Canis lupus familiaris: one gene and its partners. The protein of the gene in region 2 interacts with the protein of the main gene of each other region in a pairwise test. Links are inferred from orthologs where the notes say so. Each region holds a gene or a part of one and is shown on either strand. Other genes may lie near its edges. The genes, in order: NUTM1, ZNF277 and GNGT1.

What was found.
Region 1: the proteins of ZNF277 (region 2) and NUTM1 interact in a two-hybrid assay, tested with the Homo sapiens proteins (2 studies listed by BioGRID). The two-hybrid records come from large-scale screens. The link is inferred for Canis lupus familiaris from reciprocal best matches to the Homo sapiens genes ZNF277 and NUTM1.
Region 3: the proteins of ZNF277 (region 2) and GNGT1 interact in a two-hybrid assay, tested with the Homo sapiens proteins (3 studies listed by BioGRID and IntAct). The two-hybrid records come from large-scale screens. The link is inferred for Canis lupus familiaris from reciprocal best matches to the Homo sapiens genes ZNF277 and GNGT1.

Annotation. Positions count from the first base shown.
Region 1 is NC_049251.1:1,026,792-1,031,532, forward strand, and holds part of NUTM1 (NUT family member 1), read right to left. Parts: intron 4,529-4,741; coding exon 4,400-4,528; intron 3,355-4,399; coding exon 3,215-3,354; intron 2,720-3,214; coding exon 2,448-2,719; intron 2,179-2,447; coding exon 2,062-2,178; intron 1,710-2,061; coding exon 1-1,709. UniProt on the Homo sapiens protein: Plays a role in the regulation of proliferation. Regulates TERT expression by modulating SP1 binding to TERT promoter binding sites.
Region 2 is NC_049235.1:52,076,592-52,081,332, reverse strand, and holds part of ZNF277 (zinc finger protein 277), read right to left. Parts: intron 4,467-4,741; coding exon 4,424-4,466; intron 3,045-4,423; coding exon 2,870-3,044; intron 1,102-2,869; coding exon 915-1,101; 3' UTR 1-914. UniProt on the Homo sapiens protein: Probable transcription factor. Involved in modulation of cellular senescence; represses transcription of the tumor suppressor gene INK4A/ARF, perhaps acting via the Polycomb group (PcG) complex PRC1.
Region 3 is NC_049235.1:19,373,711-19,379,019, reverse strand, and holds the start of GNGT1 (guanine nucleotide-binding protein G(T) subunit gamma-T1), read right to left. Parts: upstream 3,736-5,309; 5' UTR 3,678-3,735; intron 3,592-3,677; 5' UTR 3,582-3,591; coding exon 3,486-3,581; intron 1-3,485. UniProt on the Homo sapiens protein: Guanine nucleotide-binding proteins (G proteins) are involved as a modulator or transducer in various transmembrane signaling systems.

The DNA of each region.
Region 1 (4,741 bases), on a different chromosome or scaffold from region 2:
CTGAGCTTGGACGCCAGGAGGTGGGCGAAGCCGGAGAGCCCCTCGTCCTCCCCCGCGTCCTCCCCCTCGTCCTCCCCCTCGTCCTCCCCCTCGCCCCCCTCCTTCCCTCTGGCCCCGGCTGCGGAGCTGCGGGTTTCACGGAGAGGGGAGGCCCCGGTCACAACCAGGGCGGCCCTGGCGCCCCAGCGAGCGCACGGGCGCCCCAGGCCCCGGCAGGGGTACGCGGCTGCGGGCGGCCCCCGTGCCTGAGCCTCCCGATTCCCGGGGAAGGACTCCAAGCCCTGAGGCTGCCGGAGGCCAGCGCCCTCCCCAACCCGGCCCCGGGCGGCAGAGGAAGTAAACTTCGGGGGGCTGGTGTCCTCACGGCCTCCAGGGCCCCCGAGCTGGAGGCCGCAGACATCTCCAATACCCAGTAGGTGGACGTGTTGTTCTGTGGTTTCCAACACAGGAGACCGGGACCGGCCTCCGCTCCCCGCCCCCAGGGCGGCCTGGGGAAAGGAGGGGACACCCTGGGCCCCCAGCACCAGGACGTTGCCGGGACACGCGGGCTGCAGGGTTTCTCTGGGAGGTCCCAGGGTGGGGGCACTGAGCCTACCTTCCGGCAAAGGGGGGCACCCTTCCACCCACAGACCACTGGGATCCCCGGCAGCCTCAGGGCCCTGTTCTGAGTTTACGTTAGGCCTCAAGGATGGGCTGCTGGCCCCCAGGGGGCCCGGCAGGCTGCAGTCGTTTCTCTTCTGCAGGGCAGACGTGCCAGTTGTGCCTCCGCAGGAAACTGCACTGCCCCCCTCGTCTCCAGGTGCCACGGTTTCTCCAGGACCCTGGGAACTGCTGCTGCTGGAGCCCCCTGCCCGGCAGCCTCCCTGATGCTCGGTGACACTCTCCCTGCTGTGGAAGTTCTCTATGACCTCCTCCATTTGTAAGGGCAACTCCAAGCCCACGGCGGCCAGCTCACTGCTCAGCCAAAGTCCCCGACTGAGGGAGACTACATCCCCATCCCTGTCACCAGCCGCTCTGGGGGAGGGGTTCTCATTGTAACTGGAAACCCCCGGAGGACCTCTGTCATCCCCCCACATGGCTCCTGAAGAGCCTTTCTGGGGCACTGCACACGGCTCCATCTCTTGAGGAAGCACTGCAGGCCCCCCTAGCCCCTGTCCTGTCTGCAGCCCCAGGACCTGCTCTTCTGACCCTTGTCCTTGCAGAGGAGCCAGCTCTACAAGTCGCACGCCCAAACCGGAACCCAGGTCAGGTGGGGGGCTTCCCTGCCAACAAAGGGGCAGAGTCTCGGCAATTCTGTCAACCACCAGGGGCTGCCCCAGTGACATGACACCTCCTAGAGGGTCAACCCCATGTGGGGACATCTGATTTGTCACCTTCCTGGCCCCTCTCTTCTCCATGTTTCTGGACCCTCGAGGCCCCTGTGGAGCTGGAAGGTCCAGCTGCAGGTCCCAGCTGCTGGGGGGTGGCACGGCATTCCCATCTCTCTGCACCTCCTGTAGGCCATCGACAGCCCGCTCCCCTGGAGAAGCAGCCTTTCCCAAGTGAACAGCACCCCCAGCAACCCGAGGCCCAGGGGAGGGCCGAAGCCGCCCACCCCCATCTTCATCCTCGTCCGAACCAGAGTGACTAGAGTCCGACGGAGCTCCACTGCAACTAGGAGGGGCCTCCGCATCCTCCTCCTCCAAGGCCAGGAGCCTCTTCTGGACCAGCTAGAAGGAGATCAGGGAGACATGGTCCCCCAGGCGGCCGGGAGAAGGGCTCTCTTAGGGGCAGTGAGGAGACAGTACTGTGTGGGGCAGGGATGCCAGCAAGTGGTACAGGTCCCAGCACTAAAACCAGATGCCACCGCTCCTGTTGCGCCTATGGGCTGCATCCCCATGCTCTGATCCTGCACACCTGCTCCCCATCCCTGAGTGTCTACAATGTCTTGCCTGCTTGGCCTGAACCTGAACCCCAACCCCGGGGCCGTCCATCTCCAGGAGTTCCACCATCCAGGACAGAGTAGGGCTAGACATAGTCACACAAGCTTCCTACTGTGACACTTCTACCTCCCAGGTGTACCTGGGCAAGGCTGAGTCCTTCTTCCTGCTCCAGCTCCTCCATTAAGGCCAACGGGTCCCTCTGCTGCTCTGGGGACAGCAGGTCGGCCAGGAATCGAGGATGAATGACGGCCTCCACCTGGGGAAACACAGGAAAAATAATGGGAGTCCTGATGGGAAGCAACCTGCGAAGCGAGAGGCTCAAGAGGAGCCACGTGTCCCTGACCCCACCACCACCCCACCCAGGGCTGTCATTAACCCTGACCACTGCCAGTGGCACACGGTCACGGCCACCTCTCAGCAGGAAGACTGCCTAGTTCCTCACTGCCTCAGGCCAAACCCGGGGTCTTCAGCTCCCTGGTTTCCACCCCAGGCTCCACCAGAAACCAGACTGCAGACTCAGTTCACCTTGGAGACAAAGACCTCCTGAGAACAAAGCTCGTCGATGTAGCTGAGAAGGCCTGGGTCGGGACACATCCTTTCCTCGTCCTGCTGCTGCTCTTCTTCGTCGTCCTGTTTCCAGTCTGACGCCCCCAGCAGCCCTTCCACGATGTCAGTGTACTCCCTCACAGCCTCCAGCGGGACCTCCTTGGGCGCCTCAGGGACCACAGGCCTCTGGGGTTTGCGCTGCCGCCGGCGGGGGGCGCGTGCCCTGGGAGCCACCTTTTTGGGAATGTACACTAGAGGGGTGGGAGAGGGATGGGGAGAGGCAGAGGGGCCATGGCCTCTGCCTCCCACCCTGGGTCAGTTGGGGCAGCCATCCGGGTTCGCCGTGATGGTCATGGGCTAGGCCCGGCCTGAAGCAGGACCGGCCCGGGAGAGGACCAGAGGCTCTCAGAGAAGCACTGTTTGAGGCATCTGGAAAGCCCTGAGATTCCAAGACGTCCTCTGACCCAGCCCCCACTTCCCAGGCAGATGAGCTATTATGCAGTCATGTACGTCTCACTTAGAGAGCCATGGGTTCACTGGGCCAAGGTCAAAGTTTGGGACGAAGGAAAAGAAAAAAAAAAAAAGTTTGGGACGAAGGGACCCAGAGACCCAGCCTGCTGTGCACGTGTGTCCTGTGTGGAACCTCAGAGCAGAAGGGCGCCGCCTCCCCTAATGCACGCCTGCTCTGTGCACACCCCACTCTGAGCCTTTGGTCCATGGCCCTTGTTGGAGGTGGGGAGCCTCACCTGGCTGCTGGCTAAGCTCAGGGGCCACAAGCCCCGGAGGGTCGAGTTTCAGAGGGGCTGCAGGAGGCAGGCCCTGGGGCCCACTTGTCAGCTGCGTGTTCTGAATCTGCATCTCCTCCTCAGCCTCAAACTCCAGGAACCTGCAGAGGGTGAGGAAGGCCTGGACAGTGCCGAGGAGGCCAGACACCGGGAGGGTGCTGCTCACAGAGACCCCAATAACCATTCTGGGCAAACCTCACAACATCCCTGACCAGCAGCCACCACTTAGGAAACTTGTTGAGATAAATGAACGGTCTAGAGCTTGTCAAGCTTCTCCAGGACACAGCCACGGCTTTCACTTCTATGTCATCCCTGATCTCACCCAGCATCATGGAGTGTATCCAGCGGCAATTAATACAGCCTTAATATAGCCTCCGGCCAAGGCCCAACAGGGTCCCTACTGCCAGCCCGGCTAGGCGGCTAGGCTCCGTTTGCCTCCACCTACAGCCACAAAGGATGCCTGAAATCCTAAAGCAATGCCCGGGGGGCTGCAATTCAAGGCATTTCCCACCAGGAGGCAGTGCTGAGACCCAAGTCCTGAGGCCGGGCCTGGGGGCCAGGAACACTAATTCTAAGAGGTCTACAAGGGAAGAAATGGAAACCAAGCTTCAGAAGAAAGGGTTAACTTTCCTCAGAATTGCTTCTTTAACCAAGGAGACCATCATGGAGAACCAGAAGACCACTGCGGGCATCCAGGACCTTGGCCTGACCAAGCTCTACACGCACCAGGCTCTCCCTGGGATAATGGGGATTTCTGTGGCAGTTTTTCCAGAGGAGGAGTGGTCTCAAGGTCTGCATCAGCAGCCACTAGCTAGCTGGTCAGTGAGACAGGAGAGAACCTGCCTCGGAGGGCTCACCTCCCCATGGGTAGGTCCCTTTGGCAAGGCATTTTTACACCAATTAGACCCCAACCCCATTCTTGGAGCTTCAGTATCAAGGACCTGTATGATTCAGGATCTGAAGGAGGGGGAGCTCCCAAGGGAGGACAGGAAAACCCGAGGGTCAAGGTGGTGGAAGCCGTGAAAATCCAGGAGGCCCCACCTTAGTCTACACCAGTCCTCCTGGCACCCCTTTTAATAATCACCCATGCCCCTGTCCCTCAGCCTCCCAGCACCCCTCAGGAGAATGGGGGTTGCTCAGACTCACTTTTCTGCCATCTCATAAAAGATCATCCGGTCAAAGTTGCTGGTGTGCTCCCACTCCTGCACAGCCCTTGGCAGTCCCTCCTCCAGGGTCATAGAAGGCTTCAGCCGGGCCAGGGAGCGAAGCACAGGGCTAAAACCCCCATCAGGTCAGTCACGTTCCACAGTGGACCCCCAATCCACCCGTCCTCACAAACACCTCAACATACCCCACTGTCCCTCAGTAGATCTAAGTTGCCTCCCGATCCTTGTCACGCTCCACGGCTTGTTGGACCTCCAGACCCCCAACCTCCCATCCATCCATCGACCACACTGGACTTTCTTCCTGCTGAAATCTTCAAATCTC
Region 2 (4,741 bases):
TATCTCTTTGTTATATTTACATTATGCATTTTTTGAAGAATTCCTCAAGCATGATGCTTTCTCTTCCTCAGTGCATCTAATCAGGAAACATACAATATTTTTCCTATAACCGATATTACTCAAAAGGACATTTTTGAGACAACTAGGGAAAACTGAAAACATAAGATATTAAGAAGTTATTGTTAATTTTGTTAGATGTCATAATGGTATGTGTTTGTTTTTTAAAAATGGCATTGATCTGTTAGTGATATATGCATTGCAGAAGACAAGAGGCTTGATGTCCAGTTATAGGGAGTTTGGTTACATTAGGCAGAAAGCAGTAATAATAATAGAGTCAGATCTTGACTTTTCTGAAATAGTTTCCAATTTGTACATTCTCCAGGTCTTTGACCATTTTTCCTTTCTTTTGGTCACTACTTCTACAGTTTACACAAATAGTCAAATTTTGTGACTTGCTGGATGAAGAAAGAGTGTGGGAGAGGAAATTGAAATTACTGGCTGAAATTAACTTTATAAATAATTTGAACATTTCATTTCTTTGTGATTTGTATGTCTTCCTTATTTAAAAACTTTTTTTGGGGGGGATAATCTCGTCATCCAACATGGGGCTCAAGCTCATACCTGGAGATTGAGAGTCACATGCTCAACCACTTGAGCCAGCCAGGTACCCTGCAGGTCCTTCTTATTACAGATAATCAATCAAGTATAATGAAATGAGATCACTTATAATGATCATATAGTAGAGTTTTACAGCCAAAAATACAAAAAGTCCTCAGGTTATTTTTTGAAAAGTATTTTTAAAAAAATTTGTTTCACCAAGGACTAACCCTTTGCTGATGTTCAAATTTAAACTATTTTTCTGAGTTTGTCTCATAAGAGAAAAACATGAAAAGTTGCTTCTGTGGTATTTTCTTCTAGTTTTTCAAGCCCTCATGTAGTAGCAACTGGTTCAAAATACTGCTTTGTTTCAAAGCATGCAGTTTAGATGTATCTTCACTGATGATGGTAATATTTCCATTTTGTTCCTGAGCCGTCAGGTCACTTTCACTATCAGACAGTGTACACAGTAGAGTGTCGTTTTCATAGGTTGGAAAATAATACCTGAAAACAACCACAGATACAGTGAATAATCAAACTATAAAATATCCAGAAAAGTTTCTAGCAGTTGAACATACACATTAATTCTGCTAAGTTTCCTTGCCCACAATTCCAACAGCATTTTGCGAAGGTGGTATGGGTGTCAACTTTGGAATTACTTTTACTTTAACCTTTACTGGCTGACGTCAATCTCACTAGCATCCTTGCTAGCTGCCCATTCAGCCTATACTTGATGTACCCATAAAACTCACAATCTGGGAATGCCTGGGTGGCTCAGTGGTTGAGCCTTTGGCTCAGGGCGTGATCCTCGAGTCCCAGGATTGAGTCCCACCTCAGGCTCCCTCCAAGGAGCCTGCTTCTCCCTCTGCCTGTGTCTCTGCCTCTCTCTCTCTCTCTCTGTGTCTCTCATGAATAAATAAAAATCTTTAAAAAATTTGTTTAAGTACTATTATAGATTAGGCTCGATGCCCTTTGAAGAACACATCCCCACTGTAGGATTTCTTTTTCCTGATAAAACACAGAGTGTATCATACTTTTTATAGGCTATATTTATTGTTCCAATATAGCTACAAAGTAATTTTTGTTATTTCTGTGTAGGTACGGATCAGTGGACCAACTGCCTAACATTTATAAAATGCTAAGATGCAAAATATATACCAAAAGCTCTAATAGTTGTGCTTTGACATAGTAATTTTATTTCTAGGAGTTTATTTAAATGAAAAATTGGGTAAGTGTGCAATAAGATAGGCATAGGGATACTCATTGTATTACTATTCATAAGAGTAAAATGCAAGAAACAAACCTCAGTATCTAGCAAATTAGGGTATATCTACTGAATGGCATATTTGGCAATCATTAAAAATAATGCAACTGATATGTATTGATATAGAAAAATGCTTACAATATTGTTAATAAACTATAATGAAAAAAATCTATACCTCATCTTTATCTTCATGCCACAATATCTGAGAGTTAGTGACACATATAAAAGGGGGATTCCTTTATTTATTTATTTATTTATTTATTTATTTATTTATTTTTTATTTTTTTATTTTTTAAATTTTTATTTATTTATGATAGTCACACAGAGAGAGAGAGGCAGAGACACAGGCAGAGGGAGAAGCAGGCTCCATGCACCGGGAGCCCGACATGGGGTTCGATCCTGGGTCTCCAGGATCGTGCCCTGGGCCAAAGGCAGGCGCCAAACCGCTGCGCCACCCAGGGATCCCCCTTTTTTTATTTAAAGATTTTATTTATTTATTCATGAGAGACAGAGAGAGAGAGAGGCAGAGACACAGGCAGAGGGAGAAGCAGGCTCCATGCAGGGAGCCCGATGTGGGACTCGATCCTGGGTCTCCAGGATCACACCCTGGGCTGAAGGTGGCGCTAAACCGCTGGGCTACCCAGGGATCCCAAAAGGGGGATTCCTTTAAAAATAAGGTTTTTGGGATCCCTGGGTGGCTCAGTGGTTTAGCACCTGCCTTTGGCCCAGGGCGCAATCCTGGAGTCCCGGGATTGAGTCCCACATCGGGGTCCCTGCATGGAGCCTGCTTCTCCCTGTGCCTGCGTCTCTGCCTTTCTCTCTCTCTCTCTCTCTCTCTCTCATGAATAAATAAGTAAAATCTTAAAAAAAAAAAGTTTTCTAAGATTTTTGCTTTTTAAAAAAAAATAAACACATATTTCTCTTTTATTTAAGTTTGGAGAAATTGAATAAAGGAACAAGTAAGGGATATAGAGTAAAGAAGTATATGTGTGGTTGAGTAGCACTCACTCTGGTTGATCCCAGGTCTTTCTTTCAGGAAGCAGTGATGTATGTTTAGCTTCTTCCATATGAGTCCTTAACTCTGCTTTGGATTTGAATTTCACATGGCAGCCATAACATCTACATTGGTGAATTTGTCTCCGAATGAAATTGACCAGTTTCACTTGCTGGTAGAAATTTAATCCTGAAAACAACAGTTTATACAATCTTTAGAATCAGTCAGACTCATTTTTGCACTGTTATGATTTTTTAAAGGAGCCACTTCTCTTTCTCTTTTAAAAAAGATTTTATTGGGATCCCTGGGTGGCGCAGCGGTTTGGCGCCTTGCCTTTGGCCCAGGGCGCGATCCTGGAGACCCGGGATCGAATCCCACGACGGGCTCCCAGTGCATGGAGCCTGCTTCCCCCTCTGCCTGTGTCTCTGCCCCTCTCTCTCTCTCTCTGTGACTATCATAAATAAAAAGAAAAAAAAAAGATTTTATTTATTTGAAAGAGGGGGGAAAGAGAAAAGAGAGAGAGAGAGAGAGAGACATGAGCAGGGAGAGGGCAGAAGATGGACAAGCAGAGTCTACACTGAGTGTGGAGCCCAAGGCAGGGCTCAATCCCAGGACGCTGAAATCATGATCTGAGCCAAAGGCAGACAATTAGCCAATTGAACCACCCAAGTGCCTGAGTCACTTCTCTTTATTAACCAACCTGAAGAGGCAGTCTGATTACAAAGCATAATAATAGATACCAAACTGTAACAGCCAATACTTTTATAGGGCTTATGTGCTAGGCACTGTTCTAATCAGTTTCCATGTATTAATACGTTTAGCTTTTGCAGAACATAGGTAGTATTATCATAGCCATGTATTAGGAAACTGCCCAAGGTTGAATAGCCAGTGGGTGGGTAGAACCAGCATTTGACGTACATACATGTCTGTAAGAAGAGCAAAGAAAAGTAACACATACCAGAGTCTAGGAAAGCAGTCAGTGAACTGAGGAATGGGAAGTAGGCTTTCTACTGTCTTTGATCCATTAGCGAGTCAGTAATTTACATCTTCATGCCCCTAATCTTTCCATCATAGGGATACTGAGAATGATGCACCTGGGTACATCTGTGATAAATAAATAATCCAGCTACACTGCCAAGCAGTACAGTAGGTGTTTTATATACATTATCTACTCCCTGTCACATTCTGTTGACCTGAGGCCTTATGTCACACAGCCAGTAAGTGCTGGAGCTGGAATATGAACTCTAGTCTGACATCAAAATCCATGGTCTTTCCATTAGCCCCTTCCACCTTATTTATGATGGATACTAACCGATAGCTTGTATTTTATTTGAAGCATTCATATATGTAGGAAAGAAGAAAGACCATATGAAATAAAAAACCGTACTTGAATATTACAGTTCAAAATGGTTGTGAATCACCGCTTCAGGCGGTCCCATTGAGACCATCTGTGGAGAGACACATTTTGGCTGTGCACCCTCCCATCACGACACCGAACACAGGCATCGCTTACAGGATGGTGTATAAAAATGCCACATCATGGAAAACAACTTCTGAATCAAACTTACCAAGTTCTGACTTTATTTTGAGGAGATCAAACTCGTGAGCATCCTAAAAAAAGGAATGAATATCTGTGAGCATATAAATTATTTAATCTTTCAGGCTGAAGTTATAAACAGACGGCTTATTCATAGGAGTTTGAACACTGTTGAAACTCGTCTCAGTTCATCATGTTCTGCTTTTGAAGTATTCGAAATATAACTACTTCCCCCCACCACATCCAACTACTTTTTAAAGCACAGTCCAAACAAGTCATGCCAATCAGTTAAAACATTTTAATTATTCACAGTTTGTATCTACAGTTTTCACAATTTACTGTGTATGCA
Region 3 (5,309 bases), about 33 Mb from region 2:
TACCCAGGCATCTAGAAGAGAGACTGTAGTCAGCTGGTGCTCAGTAAACAAGTATTTGTGTTTACATTACATCATTATTTGTGTTTTTGAACTTGCTCCTCAATCATCTGTACCATTGTAGTAATGACTTCATGAAAAACCAGGCTTTAGTATTTTAATGGACTCAGCCAGAGCTTAAATGGCCCATGTGCCACTTAATACACGTTTTAGAAAGAATCAAGGTTCTATAACATACATAAATATAAATGTGTATATACACATAAGAGCAAATAATTCATTTCCTTTAACTTTCAACTTTTCACTTAACTTACAATTCATGACATTGACGTGAAACTAATTCACTTCTGGCAGTCCACTAGGTGACCATTCCATAAGCTATCTAACTGATTTATTGTTTTTTTTTTTAAATAAAATATTTATGCGATTTTTGTATGCAAATTTCCAGGAACATTAAACATAAGATTATAACTCTGCAAATTCATTATCGACATATTAGGAAACGTCATTTCTAACTGGAGCAAGGCATTGGTTGGGTGGCTTCTTCATATGATGATACTTGTAGTTTATACACAATTCTGAAATATGCAGTAATTTAGATTCACATTTTTTCCTTCTCAAAATTCAAAATTAAGATTTAGGTTTGCTTTTATCCCACTTCTCCAAACACCAACTGCTTTGGCCCCAACCAGGTGTCAGGAATAGAGGCTTAATTGCTGTCCTAATTCTACAGTCAGTGAGGGGTGGTTTTGACAATGTCTACCTAGGATCCGAGGCTATACGGAGCAATAAATTACCTAAAATCCTATGTGAGTGTGTGTTCAAAAATTACTTCAGTGAGGCTTACTATAAGTATTTATAGTTTAATATAGGATTACATGGCATGGTGGAAAGCATGGACACTGGATTCAGGGCATCCCCGGTTTGAATGTTGGATCGGCTGTTTATCATCATTTATTAAGAGAGTTCCTCTACAATTTAGTCACTTTGTCTATGAAAAAGGAAGAACAACACTGGTTGCATTAAGTGCCTATCATACAACAAATGCTAGATCAAATGGTAGCTATTTTTGGCTATTACTACAAAGATTATCTTTAGTCTTTGCCTATTGCATTGACATGCAGTCATTGTAAGTCTGTCAGCTTTAAAAACTGTATGCAATGAGATGTGTTATTCTGACAGTACTAGTTCCTTGATAGCAAAATAGGTTGAGGCATAGTATGAACTATGATATGTATATATATAAATATATATATATTTAAATATATATATTATAATTAAAATATATATAATAATTAAAAAGTAATAATAATAGTGGAAAGTACTTGCTACGTCCTAAGTATTGTTCTCTGAGCTTTGTATATATTATTCCATTTATTCCTCCCAATTGCTCTCTGACTTAGATGTTGTTACTATTCCCATTTTGCAGAATATATCTCAGGTGAGTGTTCCACAGGGAGAAAGCTATGAAGTAGAATCTGAACCAGGGATACGGTTCCAGTGTCTACCTGGACCATACTATAAGGACGCTATGCCATCCTGCATCAGAACTATAAGTTCAGGACCTAAAATGTGTGTGTGTGTGTGTGTGTGTGTGTGTGTGTGTGTAGTTTTGGCAGTCTGATATTAAGTTAGTTTGACTTCCAAATGCAAGAAGATTTTTGAGTAGCAGGGAAAAGGACCCCCAAACTGATAGGTGGTGATGTATGTGATGTTTACACAAAATAAAAATTCCCAGATAAGCTTGCCACAAATGAATAATAAACATGAATATAATCAAATTGCCTTCAAAACAACAATCCTGAGTAAATAAATAATGAAACAGCATTTGGATTTTTCAAGTCAGGAAGAAAAAATAACTTTCCTTTATTTATCCCAAAAGTTTATTTTTCCCAAATTATAAAGATAAAGATTTTAACTGTTTTGTTATGCATTCCAAGCTTCCGGTGCTGTGTATATATTTAATTTTATTTTTACATCAAAATGTTTTGCCTGTATGGAAAGAGCAACAGGGAAGTTTGAGACAATCATAAATAGAAAAGAAGCCAAAATTCCAATTATTATTGGGAGTAAGAGTCTTGAGCAAAGTATGAAGATAATACAAATTCCTTTTTTTCCGCTTTGGCTTAATAAAATGATTTTTTGAAAAAATATGAGATACTCTTATCACTCGTGGAGGAGTTTTTGTTCTACTTACTTTCCTAAAATGAAGAGATCTAAAATACGTATCTATATTTTCCAAGCTTCAGTCACTGTTTGTTTGGAGGAAGCCTATTCCTTTGCCATTTCTCTCCTTTTAATGGCAGAGAACTCTTGGTAACCATTTCCAAGATCTGTTAGATGTTTTTAGGAGGAATGAAGGAGTTCTTGTGCTTGAACTCATTTTTATTTGCAAAGAAGGAATAGAATGTACTCATTCAGACTAGCCATGACAGTGCTGGAGGAGATGAGGTCTTGGCTAAAAGTATTTAAACATCAAAGTATTGCATTAAATAAAGAGAAGCTTATCAGTTTAGAAAAGTAAAAACAAAATGCCTATATGCATTGCTTCATTTTACTGCTTAAAATACAGTCTTGGTGTCATTCTTCATTTCCTTTTTCTTTCTCTCTCTCTCTCTTTTAAGACAACTCCACAAAACCAGAAAAACATTTTTAGTTTAGTGGTCATTAAAAAAACAAAAAACCAAAAAACAAAACAAAAAAAACAGGCTAAGGGCTGGATTTGGCCCATGGAAAATAATTTGCCAAACTTCTAGAGTCTAAGTCAAGAGATAATTATGATCATTAATTTTCTTAATACCTGATGAATTTTTTACCTGAACCACTCATTTTTAACTACATTGAGCCTCTCCAGTGAATGGCATGGGGGAGGACAAACCATTTTCCCTCTACCCTTTTAGGCTCTTGGTTGAGACACTGCTGTTAGTAAAAAAGGCAGATTAATAGGAGAAAAAACACATAGAAATTTAATAGCATGTATACCTCTTGTGTACATAGGAGAGACCCAAGAAAACAAAGTAACTCTCTGAAATGGCCTAAGACACCCCCTTAAACATCATCTCCAGCTGAAGACAAAAGATATTGGGAACTTGGGTGGGGGAAAGCCAATTATGGGAGGTTTTCAGGAAAAGTAGTCAGTAAAATTCCACTTACATCAACCATATTTAAGTCTTAGCTTTCTCTAATTATAAGAGGTTCTAAAGATTTAGAGTCATTCTTCTCTTCCTGGTATAGAGAGGGAGATACCCTTATAAATAGAGACTTGTCTTATAATTGTAAATATCTCTTACAGAAGGGCAACTTTTACTTAATTTCCAGATATTCTCTAATATTTGCTGTTTCTTAAAAATAATCAGCCTAAAATAATACTTATGTCAAGGAGGTATATGTTGGGGTGGCAAATTCTGCTCCCCTGCAACAGTTTCTGACCTGGTAGTTCTACCATATCTATAGTTTAAAATAAAATTCAAAAGAGAGCAGCAGTTTACCAGCATTCTTTCCAGGGTCACTTCTTTCTTGAGCTGGTCAACTTCCATCTTCAATTTGTCCTTTTCTGTCAAGTCTTCAATATTAATCACTGGCATCTTTTGCCTGCTGAAAAAATAGACAATTCATATACCCAAATTGCTGGGCATGCTTCAGTCAATATTAGCCAACCCTTCCCTCAGCACTTAACTTACTAAGTGAACTGTTTCTTTGCTTTAGCTTTCTATGATAACTGATTTCTTATGAATGGTCTCTGAACAATTCTAGCACTGCACACTAGCCTTGCAACTTTAAAGCTCTTTATAATCTTCACTAATATGATTAAACCAAGCATTTGACTCTAAACACCTGCTAGTAGGTTTGTGGGGAGAGGTCAGTTTAGTCAGTATATAATCTTAAACATCCAAAGCCTCTCTTCCTTGCTTTTTCTTTTTTTTTTTTTTGCATAGTGTAAAAGTTTGGGTTTCTGACCCTCATCTCCAGCACCAAACCCCTCCATCATATGATTTATGCCATTTAAGTTAGTTTGAGGTCATTTTGAGGACTGGCCATTAATCCCCTAAATCGCTAAAGTATTTAATCTGGTATTAACAGAGAACTATACAAAAACTGTCATTGTAAGTTCTCTATAAATAATAGATTTTATGAAATATGAACCAATAGAGTGGAGATATAGCAAACAACCTCACTAATCAGAAATAAACTAGCATATTTACTTAGGATGTGTCTCTAAACAATACCTGGAAGTTGTGTATAACTGTCACAATGCATTGGAAAGCAATGATGAGCAAATGTAGCAGGTTAAATGTGACACAGTGGGTCTGGTCTACTGATGTACATTGTAAAAGAAAGATTTGCACTCTCAGCAATCTCTTCTTCTTAATTAGATCAATGGGGGAAGATGGTTCAGTAGCTGGTGGTACCCACATGCAATTGTCTGGAAAATATTTCATTGTAGCCAAGTGGCATCACACATATAATCTCTCCTTTTTTGGTCTTCTGTTTTTCTCCTTTGTCTCCCCAGTCCAATTTTTATAATGACATATTTTTATGAAAGTAGACATATTTAAGTCACATGCTATTTCAGCAAACAACATTACACATTTACCTAAAAATACTCTGCTAATAACTTATCAGAAATTAATGTATTTCCTTGTATTTACATCATGTTATCATTTCCAAAACCTTTGAGGAAATATTATTTCCCTTCTCAATCTTATAATGGACTGATATTCTTGGGGAAATATACATTTTAGTATATATTGTAGTATTGGAGAGCCCATGTGCAGGTGTATCCTTCCTTTCCTTCTCACTGCCTTCAGACCATCTGTAACCATTCACAAGCATATCTACCTTTGCTGATCATTTTTAGTTGTTGACATTATCCTTTGCACAATTTTTTCTCCATCTCAGAAAACTAATTCCACTTGGCAAAGGCTCTGACACTTCAGTGTGTATAAGAATCATGTTAGGAACTTATTAAAATATAAGCACAATCTAAACGTTTTGATCTGGAATAAGGCTTAGAATTTCACTTCTCTGTTTTAGAGACTCCCTACCATGTTATTGCTAATAAAATGATCACTCATTTGCTCTTGCTAGGTGTGTGGCCCTGATGAAGTTACTTCACTTCTCAGTTTACTAGGAAATAGGAGCAATATGATTACCTACATTGTAGATTTCTTGAGAGGAATAAAGATTATGCAATGGCATGTAGCACAGAACAAGTGTTCAGTATATGTTAGCTGGGTTACTCACTTATTCTGTACCTTTAGACTTTCAAACTGTGCTGCCTTACATGTCACTTGCTGAAAAGCTTTATAAGC